2 linked regions of the Mytilus edulis genome follow. The protein of the gene in region 1 interacts with the protein of each later gene in a pairwise test. Links are inferred from orthologs where the notes say so. Each region holds a gene or a part of one and is shown on either strand. Other genes may lie near its edges.

Region 1 (7,032 bases):
GGTACCGTATATTTTGCTACAAATATATAATTTTTCATTGGTTCAAAATAAAGTGACATTCTGGCAACTTTTTGGTGTTGCATAAATCACATAATCATTTACATCAAAGCAAGTTAAAACAACAATCCATCATGGTTATCAAACACACAAAAGATAATACCAAATTTAGCTGTGTGCAAATACCAATTTGCTGTTATCATACATTGATACCTAAAATTTGATAATTAATTAACAAACAAATTAATAAAAAAAAAAATCATGTAGTAAGTCACCAATTATTATTTAGGAAAATATTTTTTGTTTTGGTAAACATGGTAAATAATACATACATGTATATATAAAAAAAATTCTTATTATTCAGCTGGAACTCAAAAATTGGGTGCGACCGTCTAGGGGTCAGTGAATGTACTAGGACACGAACGTGTAGGGTGCGAAAGTGTATTGGAAGATTTCGGTGCCCCATCATAAAAGAGGTCATGGAGATCCTTGCTGCCCTCCTCCTTTACTTATACGAGTAAATATTACTTAGATCTTGAATTATGAAGTATATGTATTGTGTTTTCGACCGTCTTACGTTTTCAACCTAATTTTACTTTCACTTCCTGTATGCCGCGCATGCCTGTGTGACGTCATATTCGGCTGCTATACTTAGTAACAATAGCAAATGATACCAAGTGTGGTAAAGATTTTCCAAATAAAGTTATAAAAATTAAATATTCATGATTTTTTATTTGATATCACATTTTCGTACGCTTCAACTATACTAGTTTTACCTTCCCAAAGAAACGATCTAAAATAAACAAATTTTCTAAAAAATATGGCAGAGGTATTTTTGCATGCAAAGTTAACTTCAAGGTCATTAAGTCACATGACTGTCCTATGGTTAGTTGTAATATAATGTACTTACAGGTAATTTGCATACAGAAATGCATGCTCCTTACTGATTTTTACCGAAAAAATAAAATATCAGTTAATTTTTATTTACAGAAAAATCAGTCTGTCATGGGAAATTACAGACAATACTCACCAACCTCACTTCACAATGCACTAACTTAAATTTAACGAAAGTATTTAACAAAAACATGAATAATATATACAAGACCATACAAGGCTTCCAATGTGTCTCCTTTTAAAATGTGTACAACTTGTCCAAACAAGTGAAACTGCGAGCTACTGCTCACTGATGATACCCCCGCCGCAAGTGGATAATATTAATAGTGTAAAAATATGCAAGTGTTCGGTAAACAGGAAGTTGTCGAGTGATGAATCTGAAAACGCATCACACGGTATAGCTGACTTATAAAAATCCTGAAACCAAATTTCAGAAATCCTTGTATTGTAGCTCCTGAGAAAAATGTGACGAAAATTTTCAACTTGGCTATCATGTGTAAAATCAGACAAGTGTTCGGTAAACAGGAAGTTGTCAAGTGATGAATCTGAAAATGCATCACACGGTATGGCTGACATATATAAATGTTGATAGCAAATTACAGAAAGGGTGGATGTGTAGTTCCTGAGAAAAATGTGACGAAAGTTTCATGGGACGGACTGACTGACGGACGGACGGACTGATGGACGGACGGACGGACTGATGGATGGACGGACTGACAGACAGAGGTAAAACAGTATACCCCCCCTTTTTTAAAGCGGGGGTATAAAAAAATATCAAAATAATATTTTATATCTTATAGTTGTACATGTATATGTAACCATTCTATTCATTTAGTCATAAGTTTGATCACCTCTATCAATTTCGGATTTGTACGACATGTCATTTCCGACTTTAGACCTGTTTCTTAGATAGGTCGAAAACACAAGATGCTTGTTTTTGCCAACAAAGGTGCCATCGATCCGATGAATTCAAATAAAAAATAAATTAAAGATCGAAATGTATTTCATTGTGTATTTTAGATACAAGTGTACTGGTGACTCTCAAAATATTAGGCATGTGTATGTTCAAACATATAAAAGGGAAATTCAGAAAAATATGTTAGTAGGTCGAAAATACAATACACGAGTATATACATACATTTAAGGTTCATGTGGACCCTATGGCTAATATGGCTGTATTTTCACCTCAAAATTTACTCGGAGTACAGGCAAACCTGTGCATCCGAAAAAGTTTTAAGGCATACAATGTGCATGCCCTAGATAAATAGAATTCAAATGCATTGTATGAATTAGAAAATTTATAACTTAACTGGATTTTGCCGTACACTTTTTTTCGTCCCTGCAGATGATAAAATTAACAAACAGTTGAGTTTATCTTGATATGGTCCACTCAGGTACACAGTTTAAATGACCAATTATTTTTAGGTATCTATTGTCCATCTCATGTCCATGTCAAGCAATACAGCTCACTTCAATTCGCCGTTTCAGAATCTAATGCATCCTAAGTAATATTTCCAAAAGTGTACACCAAAACGTCGTGATTGGTTAAATATATATATGTCATAAACAATGGAAATTCAACCAATGACGTGACGTTATTTTCATTTTGGGGTACGAGCAATGAAATTACCCATGATTCTTTAGATTCTGAAACGGCCAATTATTACCTGTGGGGAAGTTCTCAAACCTGTTTACCAACTTAGTTTTTTTTGGCAACTTCTGGAGGAATGAAAAAAAGTGAACGGCAAAATCCTGGTAAGTTTTTATTTTTCTAAAACATAAAACATATTTGAAATTTATTTATCTAGGGCATGATATGCCTGGAATTTTTTTTACAGATGCGCAGGTTTGTCTGTATTCAGAGTAAATTTTGAGGTGAAAATACGGCCATTTTAGTCATAGGGTCCACATGAACCTTAACAGTTCAACTGTTTACATTTTTGTATCCCTAAAATAGCCTGTATTTTGAGATAAATTATAGAATACTCGTAACAGTTTTTGCTAACTAATGTGCGGATCCTGATAAACAATTCTGATATTTGACTGATCTTACTAGACTTATTATTACTGCACCGTTATTACTGTTTTACAGGGGAAATTGTTTACTGATATCCACTTCCCCCCACTGTCAAAAAGCAAGTGGAGATAACTCAGTGGTCTATCTCCGGATAGATTGTTATTGCAGCGAATCATCAAAGAAATATCAAATTACTATAAAAAGGTTCACAGTAACATGTACTGCAACGTCTACCAACTGGTGCCCAATTTTCAGTTTTATTCATGTGCACAGGTTTCAGGTGTGCAGTTCCAGTTGTTTGTTTGTTATAAAATTTAAAACCTTAAAAATCGATTTTTTTATTTGAAATTATCATGACCGAGTGCCGGCAATATACCATGTGTAGGTGGAAGAAAGGTCCACTGATATATGCCCTGAAGTAACTGTGCCCTTAGGTAACCGGGGGAATTGGTCATCGATTATTTCGCACGAAAATATAGTTCCCTTTATTGATTAATCTCAATACCACATTGTAATGTGACTTAATACCAACAAAAAATAGATATATTGTTGATAATATAATGATGATGTAATTTTGAAAATAATTTCTTCATCTTCAATGTAGCACGTCATAGACGTTGTATTGTTTATGTTATGTGTTTGTGTAACGGTTTATTTCTTCCTCTGTGATATTTTATCCTGAGGATAATTTGTCATAGTAATTTTTTTCCAGGCATGGTATTTCACAGGTAGATTTTTCCAGAGGAGTGAAAATCTATCTGTGTTATGCGGATAGTATGTACCCGTATATATTTGCCGTATCATATTTCACAGAACCTTGTGAAATATAGTCCCATTAACTAGTATGCAAGTTAATCGCAATTAATATATACCTGACTTAAATTATAAAATGTTTCACAAAGGTAGAACAAATTTTCATAATTTATCAAAGGGAGGTAATTATGAGCAATTTATATTTTAAAGATATTAATATAATATATTCCTGAATCTATTTCATAGTGAAATTTTTCCTTGAATCTTATTTTTTATATATTCAGTTATATCAAAAGATGACTTACAACATGAATTTTTAATAAGACAGATAACATTTCACAGGTAAATACTATCTAGCTTTTAAAATTGCTTTTGTTCCAATATATTGTTATGCTATGATTCATCTGATTTCCATATAATCAACAACAACATCTTTGTTCCCAGATAAAACTGTTTTTATAGTTAATAATATTATCATAATCAAATTCTTCCATTACTGTTAACAGTAGAATTGCAACTATATTTCTACCTTTACTTTTCAATTTATATTTGTACTGAGATCTGAAAACAACTCACTTTTACATGTATTTCACTTATCTTATTTAATCATGATATTATTTCACAATTACGAAATTATTTCTGGTTTTCTTTCTTATGTTTAATGATAATTTTCTTTTTAAAAGAACGATATTTACTTGAATTTTTTCAGGAATTTTTTTCAATGATAATTTGTGAAAGAATTCCCATTATAATACATTTTTTTTTACAATATAGGTTTAATTCAAATCATTTTATTATTTCATGGTATTTGTAAAGGGTAAGTTTTTTCTAATAACTATTCAATAAGTTAACTACCCAGATAGAATTTAACGGCAAAGGAAAAATATCCCAGGGAAATATTTTCCTCCGGATAAAAAAATAACAACAACTACTGTGACATTTTTTCCTCAGGATCAAATTTCACCCGGATATAATTTTGCTTTTCATTGGAGACGAATTGGTTGTATTTTGTGGTTTGTTTTTTTTTTGGGGGGGGGCTCAGGTAACCCCTGTAATCAAAGAATAGTAAATACTATGCTATGATATATTATTATGCTGCAATAAACTAATTTCTTCATTCTGAATGTAGGACGTCGTGGACAATGCATAGCGTATGTCATATATTTGATAAGATAACTAGAGTTAGATTGGTTACATTTCTTAGGTGTTTTTTTTTGGGGTGGGTGGGGGGGGGGGGGGGGTTATCTCAGGTATCCACGTAATGAAATAGTAATAGATACAATGCTAGGGTATATAATTATTAATTTCTTCATTTAAAAATATAAGACTTCATAGATGTTGTATTGTAACGTTTGTGTAATGTAATTTTTAAGGTGAACTGAGTTAATTTTGAGTTAAATGGGTTATATTCGGGTTTTATTTTTTGGGTGAACTAAGGTACCACCTGTAATGAAAGAATAAGAGATACAATGCTAGGGTATAAAATTACGCTGTAATAAACTAATTTCTTCATTTTAAATGTAGGACTTCATGGACATGATGAACATTGCATAGTTCATGTTGTTTATGTAATTTTTTTAAGTTAATTTGAGTAAAATTGGTTATATTCGTTTTTTAGGGATTGAGTGACCTCAGGTACCCCTGTAATAAAACATATATAGGTACAATGCTAGAGTATATAATAATGCTGTAATATTTTACAACAGATTACATAAGGGTTTTATTAAATCAATATATGTATGTACGTGGCGGAAGAATTTTATCGTATGATAATTCTATTAATATAACAATAGAATTGTAACAGGTTTTATGAACCCGAGTGTATTTAAATACGGTGGACTCGAATTGAAATTATCGATAAGGGCGTTGACCATTCGCATGTACACACGTAGTTTTTGTTAGTTAAACTTAAGCACATATAGATTCGAAAACAGTATTAAATGTACTTTTTGTAACAAATTTTGTTTGTTTTTTGTAGATTGTTGAGATAACCTTTTTAAGTTTATTTAAACAGAGGACGTATATATATTCTGTGATGTGGACTGTATTTGCAAAATTACAAACATTTGTAATTTGTTGTTCATTTGATAAACATGTATTGTAATGATTTGGTATTAGATAAAAGAGAATGGTCATCGTGCCTGACAAGTTCTAAAACTAGTGTTTTAGTTATTTATATATGAATGAGATAAGAAAAAGACTGGGCCGAGATATATAGAAATTATATAGTCTAGAACATAAATAATTTATGTTCGTTTGAACGAAGAGAATTTAGAAAATAAGTCTTCATACACTATAGATTACCTGATTTCACCTTCCTTCAACCCAGTGCGTGAACCGGTGACAAAATATTATCGCCCCTGTAAACAGTGGGCTCTTCTGACTAGAGGTAATCGGTAAAGAACAGCGGAAAATGGTGTACATTGTTTACGAGCTTGGAGCTAACACAGACGAACTGAGACGTGTCAACGTAATGTGAATATGATAATGCACCAGGTAAATTATTAATTGTTAAGTTTATCACATCATCGTATCTTCATATGATAGGTAAATAAGTGAATTTTCGATTTTAAGTGTCGTCAGGGTTCAAACATGGAATCATGCCAACCTTTCATTATTTTTTTTTAATACTAACCTATAGTCGGAACATCTTGATTTTCTCCCAATTTGTAAAGTTAATTATGCTGCTTGACATATATTTTTTTTGGGAAAAAAAATTGATATGCAGTCAAATGTGGCAGTTTTTAATATTTGTTGCTATGTGAAATAAAGGGAAGTAAATTAAAGTAGAAGAAGGCGCACTTTTTCAAATAGTAAACAATTTAATTCAGATGCATAGTATTTTGTCAAATGATAAAGAATATCGTAGAAACTTGCTAGAAATTCATCTAATACCTTGAACAAATTCAGTTAAAAAAAAGGGGGGGGGGGTAAAATGCTACGAAATTTAGATTTTATTTATTTTTTGTCGACAGCCAAAAGATGATTTGACATGTAACTAACTACTTTTTCAATTTCATTGTAAAGTAAAATTGGCTTTTTTTTTTTGGGGTCTCTGTTTATTGTGGTCTGATGTTTTCAGGTTCTCTTTGGATTGCCAAATAATATTATAATCATCTAATTGAATGTTCAAATTATTTTGCAGCGATGGTGTGTATGGAAGGAAGACTGTCATAAAACCCAACAGTTCCGGATGGCCTTTAAATAATTGCTTAACATCAATAGCGATGTAAGATTCAAGTGTTTGATTTAGCACAAGTTTAGCCAGGTTTTCCTTGTAATTGTGGCAGAAAAACCACTAGACAGTGTCATGCATTGAAAGGATATCAAACGGATATTTTATGGAATGATTCTCGTACATATAAAATCAT
Region 2 (7,461 bases), on another chromosome or scaffold:
TCGTACCTCTACGATCTTAAAATATAGACCATTTTAAAGGGATCCAGGCAATCATTTGAGTTATAATTTTGAGATGAAAAAAAATGTATTCTTATGATAATTACATGAACAATCCAATGTTTGTTTATATTTTCTTTTTATACTATTCGGTCTGTGAAGACGTCAGAATTTGTGTGTGAATTACGACTACTTTCATACTGGTGTTATCAAATTAAAGAAAAGAATTTAGTTTTGAATTTATTATAATTATAATTATAATTCAAAATAATAAACAATGTGTTGAAAAAAAAATACACAAAAACACTCAGATGGAAAAGTGAATAAAAGCAGCAGAATATGTATAATAAGTCTTGCTATACAAATCTTTGAATATTCTTAAACTATTTTGTACATTAATGAGCCAAGGTAGCTATGTTTACATCTTCATGTATGATTGGTATAAACATGTGAGATCCAAAAGGCATTTACAAAAAAATGTAGCACTTCTTCTGTGCATCTAAAAGACAAATTATGCATGCTCTTGGTCATGTCCACTTTAACAACACCACATCTTACATGTATGACAGCCTCATCAGTGATCCAGTATTTATAACTGAATTTAATGATTGAAATGAGGCAGAAGCACAATGAACATGATCAAGATTCTGAGTCAAGAAGTGATAATTTTATTACTAAAGGACTAAAATTAACAAACTAATAGTAATATACATACATGTATCTTTATTTCTTCCCAATACATTGTAAGTATGAAACAATGGTACATTCAATTATATCCCTATCTATTTAAACAGAGCACATATTTCTATGTTAAGAGTGCTCTAAAAGTGAAATTATCTGCCCTTAAAATGTAACCAATCATGCTACATTGAAGGAGTGCCCTCTAGGAAAAGCTGCAGGAAACACAAATAAATATTCTACATTCAACATGTTAAATGTGTCAATTAGTATTCATTGGAAGTTATAAACGTCAGCAAAAAAAATTTTCTATCTTTTTAACTAGTCCAAATAATTGTGACGTCTTGACAGGAAATTATACTTTTTTTCTTTGATGCCTTACATCGACACTATAGTCACAGTCACGTAAAATTGGCACCATGAAATTTGTTGAAATATTTTTAAATATCAGTTGCATCCACCGGGGGTGATGTTTTTCTATTAGCAGAAGAAAAATCCTTTCCAAATATCAACTACTGTCCTACCATTCATTGTGATTGCACTGTATAATCCTGACCTTCACATTTTTCAAGATTATTTACATTGTAAAACTGTTGTCTTAAGTTTCTTTAAGGATCCCTTATTTACATAACATTCATTACTTTCCGCCTCCGGTAATATCCTTGTCATTGATGTGATACAATTTCCGATGCTTTTTGCATTTAAACAATAAAGATAATGAAATGACTTGAGAGACCCGAGAAAATAGACAGAAAGTGGAACTCCACAGCAACACTTCCAGTAATAACAATTTTGGATTCCACCATACAAAATAGTCTTGGATTATGTGAAGGTCAGGATTTTACAGTGCAAACACAATACAAGGTAGGACAGTAGTTTATTTTTTGAATGTCAGAATGCGGTTGGTACTTTAAAATTTTTCAACCAAAAACATGGTACAATGTACCAAAGGAGTATGTTCGGTAAGGGTCATATTTGACCCCAATTATAAAGTTCATAGTTACAAGACGTTAAATGTTTTAAGTTGCCTTAAAGACACGTGATAAAGTTAAACAGAACTATTTTTGTCAAAAGTTTAATTCTAACACATTGATTTTTACATCCCAAAAAGGTCAAGATAAGGGATTTTGGTGAAATTTGACCAAATCAGCTGGATTTCAACCAAATTGAGGACCAGGAAACATAGAGCGCAGGCGTCGACAAACTTAATTTTCAAATGAGACATGTAAAATGTCTTCACAAACATTATTTTAAAAGATCTTTGTTGTCGACGTATGCGCTTTACGTTTCCTGTCCAATAATCTATGGAAATTTACCCATTTTCATTGATTATTTCGTGAAAATCAATATGAGTACAACTTGTGACGTCATAATGAAACGCAGAAACGTAAAAATTTCAACAAAATGGCTTATTTCCTTTCTAGTCACTGTATTAGCTATTATATATTGTGATATTGGTCAATAAATCCGAATTTGAAATTTATGCTAAAAAGGGGGGCCATTTTAGGACCTTTCCGAACATACTCCTTTACATGACAGCGACTTTATGTCATAATTATTTGACTACTTTTTAACATATTAAAGCTTTTTTCCATGTTTCTAACTTTATTAATTTGAAATAATTGTAATAGCAAGTTCATTTGATGCCAAGTTTTTTTTCTTGTTGATAAAGTAGCCTTGTTGTTGCTTGGTTAGCCTTCTTGACTAGACTCTAAAGGGAGATCCCATAATTATTGGCATAAATTGGTAGTTTTATCAGGAAGTTCCACAACCTGTATAAGCCGTTATGATATATAAAGTTGTCAATGGGATAGTTTTACGACATCCACATCAAATACATTTGAACTGTACACTGAGTTTGATGTTTCAGTAATTTAAGTAAAACTATAAGAGATTAAATGAAAAGGGTGTGTCAAAAAAATATGACTTAAAAATCATACACGAGAATATGATGAGTCTCGATTCACAATCGCATGTGGTTCTAAAACTTGGAGTCAATTTGGGTGATAATAACTCCAAATACAATGTAAATGACAGCATGCGATGAATCTTGCAGGGGTTTACCATAGACTTGAAAAATAATTAACAAATTATTTTGGTCACAAACTGAAACCCGATAAAATGTCATTTTTGACAGGTACTTTATATCTGCTTTAGTCAAATTCTTCTTGTAAATCGTATAAACCCTTACCTTTTTTTTAATAGTTGCACAATTAACCTGTACAATAGACACCAGTATCAAATTCAAGCCATAAACACAAGTTTGTAAACATTTAAATTTCTCCAGCAAAGTGGAAATGGTTCAGTTTTGTTGCATTGTGGGTACCCATTTCGGTACATGCATTTTACGGAACACTGAAGAAAATAAACGACACGAATTAAATCAAAGAGAAGTAACTCGTGTTGAAATCATATTCATAAGAAAAGAATTAGTCTTTCTTCTTCTTCTTCTTTATATACAGAAAAACCTCAACTGGTTGATGATTACTTTCCGACGCATGCCTGGTTTAACAATATTGTAAATGTTTAAAAATATATTTTTGATTTTATAATATTTTTTCTATTTTTATATATACAAACTAGAACACACCCGTGATATTGCGGGTCCTTGACTGAATTAAAGTACATAACTATATATATAAACAATACTACATAGCATATCATTGGGCACATTTCGAACAATGAAATGTGCAGTTATAAATATCAATATGTATAGGTTAATTTGTAAGAATAGACTACTGACATAAGTATATTGTATGTTATAGCTTCAAATTGTTCATATTACTCATTTATAAGGACATTTTTCCTTAATTCAAATGATTGATTAATAAAAGATGATATTAATCTAAGTGTTTTTCTACACTTGTTATTAAAAGTAGTAGTTTGATATACTGATTCATCCTCAGTTTTGGATTGTTTGTCATAATTTTTAAAACAGGACAATTTTGATATAAGAACATTTCTTTATAAATTCATATTTTGTGCAGTGCAAGATAAAATGTTTTTCGTCTTCTATATTTTTATTATGACATAATTTGCACAACCTTTCTTCTCTGTTAACTTGCATGTATCTACCTCTTTCAATTTCAAGATTGTGTGCACTTAGACTTAGTTTTGCCAAAGGTGCTCTATCTTTCAACATATTCAATTGGTCAACATAGTGTGCACGTTTATTTGAAAAACAAAAATGTCGAAAAAATGATAGTTTTGATGATTCTGCAATAAATGAATTCTGTTCTTGTAAAATTTGTAATATATAAAGTTTAATTCTTTGATTTGTAGTGTTTTACCCCATGACTGCTGACAAATTGGACCTCGTTATTTTAGTATTATAGATGTATAGGTAAGTAATATTTTTCAATTTCTATTTTTAATTTTTGGTATAAGATAAAAACAAGATATATATTAAACATGTAGGTGTTGGTAAGTGTCAAAGAGCATCTCTCTAGTGAGTTTCATCTTGGAGCACTCAGTAGTGGTGCTGCGGGCTATTGGTTTAGGTAATTTGTTCAAGTCTTTTATAGTTTGGCAGAAAAATGAAAATTTGTAACGTACTGTCTTTTCTGCATCGAATTTGTCGCTATGTTTGTTTGTGGCTGGACCTGGTGTTTGATTTGCTTTTGATTAGCATGTCAGTATGTGGTATTGCAATTTTGTTGTTTGTTATTCTATGGAACATATTTAATCTGCTTTTGAATCTCCTTTCTTGTAATGTTGGCCAATGAAGTGTGTTTACCATGTTTGTTACACTTTCAGTATATTTGTAGTTGGAGCATACATATCTCGCTGCACGTCTTTGGACTTTATCTATGGAGTTAATGTTACTGTTGTATAAGGGTCCCAGACAGGGAAGCAGTATTCATGTTTTGGTCTAATAAGGGCTTGGTATTCTCGGTCTTTGATAGTTACTGTCTTACTGAGTTTATTTTGAAATTTCTTCTGATGAATCCAAGGGTCTTATTTGCTTTTGATGTCATGTTCTGAATGTGTTTTTTCCATTTTAAATTTGATAATATAGTTATACCTAAATATTTTGCATTTTCAGCTGACTCAAGAATGTGACCGTGCCTGTTATAATACAAATGGATAGGTGTTTTCTTTGCGGTCACTCGAAGTATGTTGCATTTGTCAGAGTGGAACAGCATTAGCCAGTCTTGTTCCCATTTGATTGCCCCTTTTATGTCTTCCTGGAGTTTAAAGCAATCTTATGTTGATTTTATCTGTCGGTAAATGATGCTATCGTCAGGAAAGAGCCTGATTTGACTGTGATGTAAAATTTAGTCAGGTAAGTCATTAATGTATATTAAAAATAGTATTGGACCTAAAACAGTACCCTGCGGAACACCTGATGTAACTGGTATGTTGTCAGAGGAATGGTTTTCTAGCATAGCTGTTTATGAACGATTTGACTGAGGAAAGATTTTATCTAGTTTGTAGCTTGATCTGATACACCGAAAAATTTAGTTTATATAGTTAACGGTTGTGGGGAACCTTGTCAAAGGCTTTTGCGAAATCCATAATGATTAGATCGGTTTGTATGTTTTTGTCGTTATTTGAACACAGCTGGTGAATTAGTGATATTATTTGGGATTCGCATGATCTATTTGCCCTGAAGCTGTGCTCCAAGTCATAAAGTATGTTGTTGGATCCAAGGTGTTTCTTGATGATGCTTGCAATTATGTTCTCTAATAATTTGCAGGAAATACATGTTAATGCAATTGGACGTTAGTTACCAGGATGCTGTTTTTCTCCTTTTTTGAAAAGAGGTGTTACATTTGCGTGGTTCCAATCGTGAGGGTCTATTCCTGTTTGCATTGATTTTGTAAAAATTAGAGTGAGTATGTCTGTGCATGTGTTAATGTGTTCTTTTTCAGTAATGTTATTTGGTCCTGTTGCCGTTTTTGGATTTATATTTTTAATTAATCTATAGATGCCTTCTTTGTTGATGTCTATTTTGTCCATTATTGGATGTGTTGATGGATCTTTGTCAGGGATAACTGTATTGATATCAGATGTAAAAGTTGATTTATATTGTTCGTTTAATATATTAGCTTTTTTCAAGGGATCTGTATAAAGAAAACCTTCACTCAAAAAGCTTGTCTGACTTGAGCATTTATCTAAAGTGACGTTGAAAACAGGCCTTGTACTATTATACTAATAGTATAGTAAGTATTCTAGTACAAGATCAGCAGATTTCCCCTATTCAGAGCTCACATTAAATGTATAAATGCACTTGTATGTAGCCTTTGATCCACCATTCATTCTATATTTTTTATAAGCATGCACAGCTTAGGTTTAATTATGTAGAAAACGCCTAAACCAAGTCAGTAATGTAACAGTTGTTGCCCATTGATGTGTTTGGGCTTTTGATTTTGCCATTTGATAAAAGACTTTCCATTTTTAACTTTAAATTTTCCTCGGATTTCAGTATTTTTGTGAATTTACTGGATTGTTGTAACGAGTATTACAGTATTATGCATTGTAACATAAAATTTATATCAACTGCTTTATGATGTTATGAAACTGCTTTTCTTATACCTACATAAAGACACTAGAAAATAGTCAGCTTCAGAATTGGATAAGAATTGTCATTCAATGTTTTTAATATTTTTTTCTCCACAGTAGCAGACAAAATTGGAGCAGATGTGGTATATCACCCCTCGAATCATCCAAGTATAAAAGAAATTTTAATTAACAGAAAGAATGATTCTGATTTTGAATTCAAATAGTATCTAAAGATCATGTCGATTTTTTTTTAGATAAAATAAACACAAAGAAGGCTACAGGAGCTGATGGTATTCCAGCAAAAATAGTAAAAAATTGTAAATCTTATATTGCACTACAGCTGACAACACTTGTAAATTTGTCAATTGAAAATAATTGTTTCCCTAATAAACATAAAGAAGCCCAAGTGATCCCCCTTCATAAAAAGAGTGACCCATTATTAAAAACAAATTATAGACCAGTTAGTGTCTTACCCATATTTTCTGAAATCTTTGAAAAAATATAGGAAATTCAATTAACTGATTATTTTGATAAAATATTTAATCCATTTTTGTGTGCATTTAGACGTGGACATGGATATCAGACCACACTTCTCAGAGTGTTAGAAGACTGGCGTGAAGCTCTTGATAAAAACCAGTAAATTGCAGCGGTATTAATGGATCTTTCTAAGCCGGCTTTTGACTGACTGCCTCACAATATCATGCTAGATAAATTATCAGCATATGGTTTAACCCCAATGCTGTTGCTCTTTTAAAGTCCTATTTATCTAATCGAAAACAGTAAAGTAAAGTCAACAATGTTCTAGTGGTTGGGCTGACATCCATAAAGGCGTACAACAGGGTTCGATACTAGGGCCATTGTTGTTTAACATATTTATAAATGATATTTTCTCTTTTCCATACCGCCACATGCAATGAACTTTGTATATAGTGTGCAGAAAGTTCTGTTCTTTTCGACATCCTTATTTCCCTCACTGTAAATATCCAATTTAGATGTATGAGCAAGGTTAAATGGTAGTTTATATAACTATGCAGATGACAATACTTTGTCTTTTGTACTCCAGATTTCGATTTACTAATTTCAACTTTGGAATCTGATTCAAAAATACTTATTGAGTGGTTCAGGGTGAATAACATGCAAGCAAATCCTGACAAATTTCAAGTTTTGGCTGTTGGCAAAAAGACCTTTGAAAAGAACCCATCTATACATATTCAAAATTCGAACCTTACATGAAAAACAGCAAAATTATTAGGCATAGAAATAGACTACCAGCTAAATTTT

What was found. The genes of interacting proteins can lie anywhere in the genome.
Region 2: the proteins of exocyst complex component 2-like (region 1) and ras-related protein Ral-a-like interact in a two-hybrid assay, tested with the Drosophila melanogaster proteins (2 studies listed by BioGRID). The link is inferred for Mytilus edulis from reciprocal best matches to the Drosophila melanogaster genes Sec5 and Rala.

The regions. Positions count from the first base shown.
Region 1 is NC_092348.1:25,985,367-25,992,398, reverse strand, and holds the start of exocyst complex component 2-like, read right to left. Parts: upstream 3,052-7,032; 5' UTR 2,945-3,051; exon of another isoform or gene 2,898-2,944; intron 1-2,897. UniProt on the Drosophila melanogaster protein: Component of the exocyst complex involved in the docking of exocytic vesicles with fusion sites on the plasma membrane.
Region 2 is NC_092345.1:84,788,683-84,796,143, forward strand, and holds the start of ras-related protein Ral-a-like, read right to left. Parts: upstream 3,018-7,461; 5' UTR 2,867-3,017; intron 1-2,866.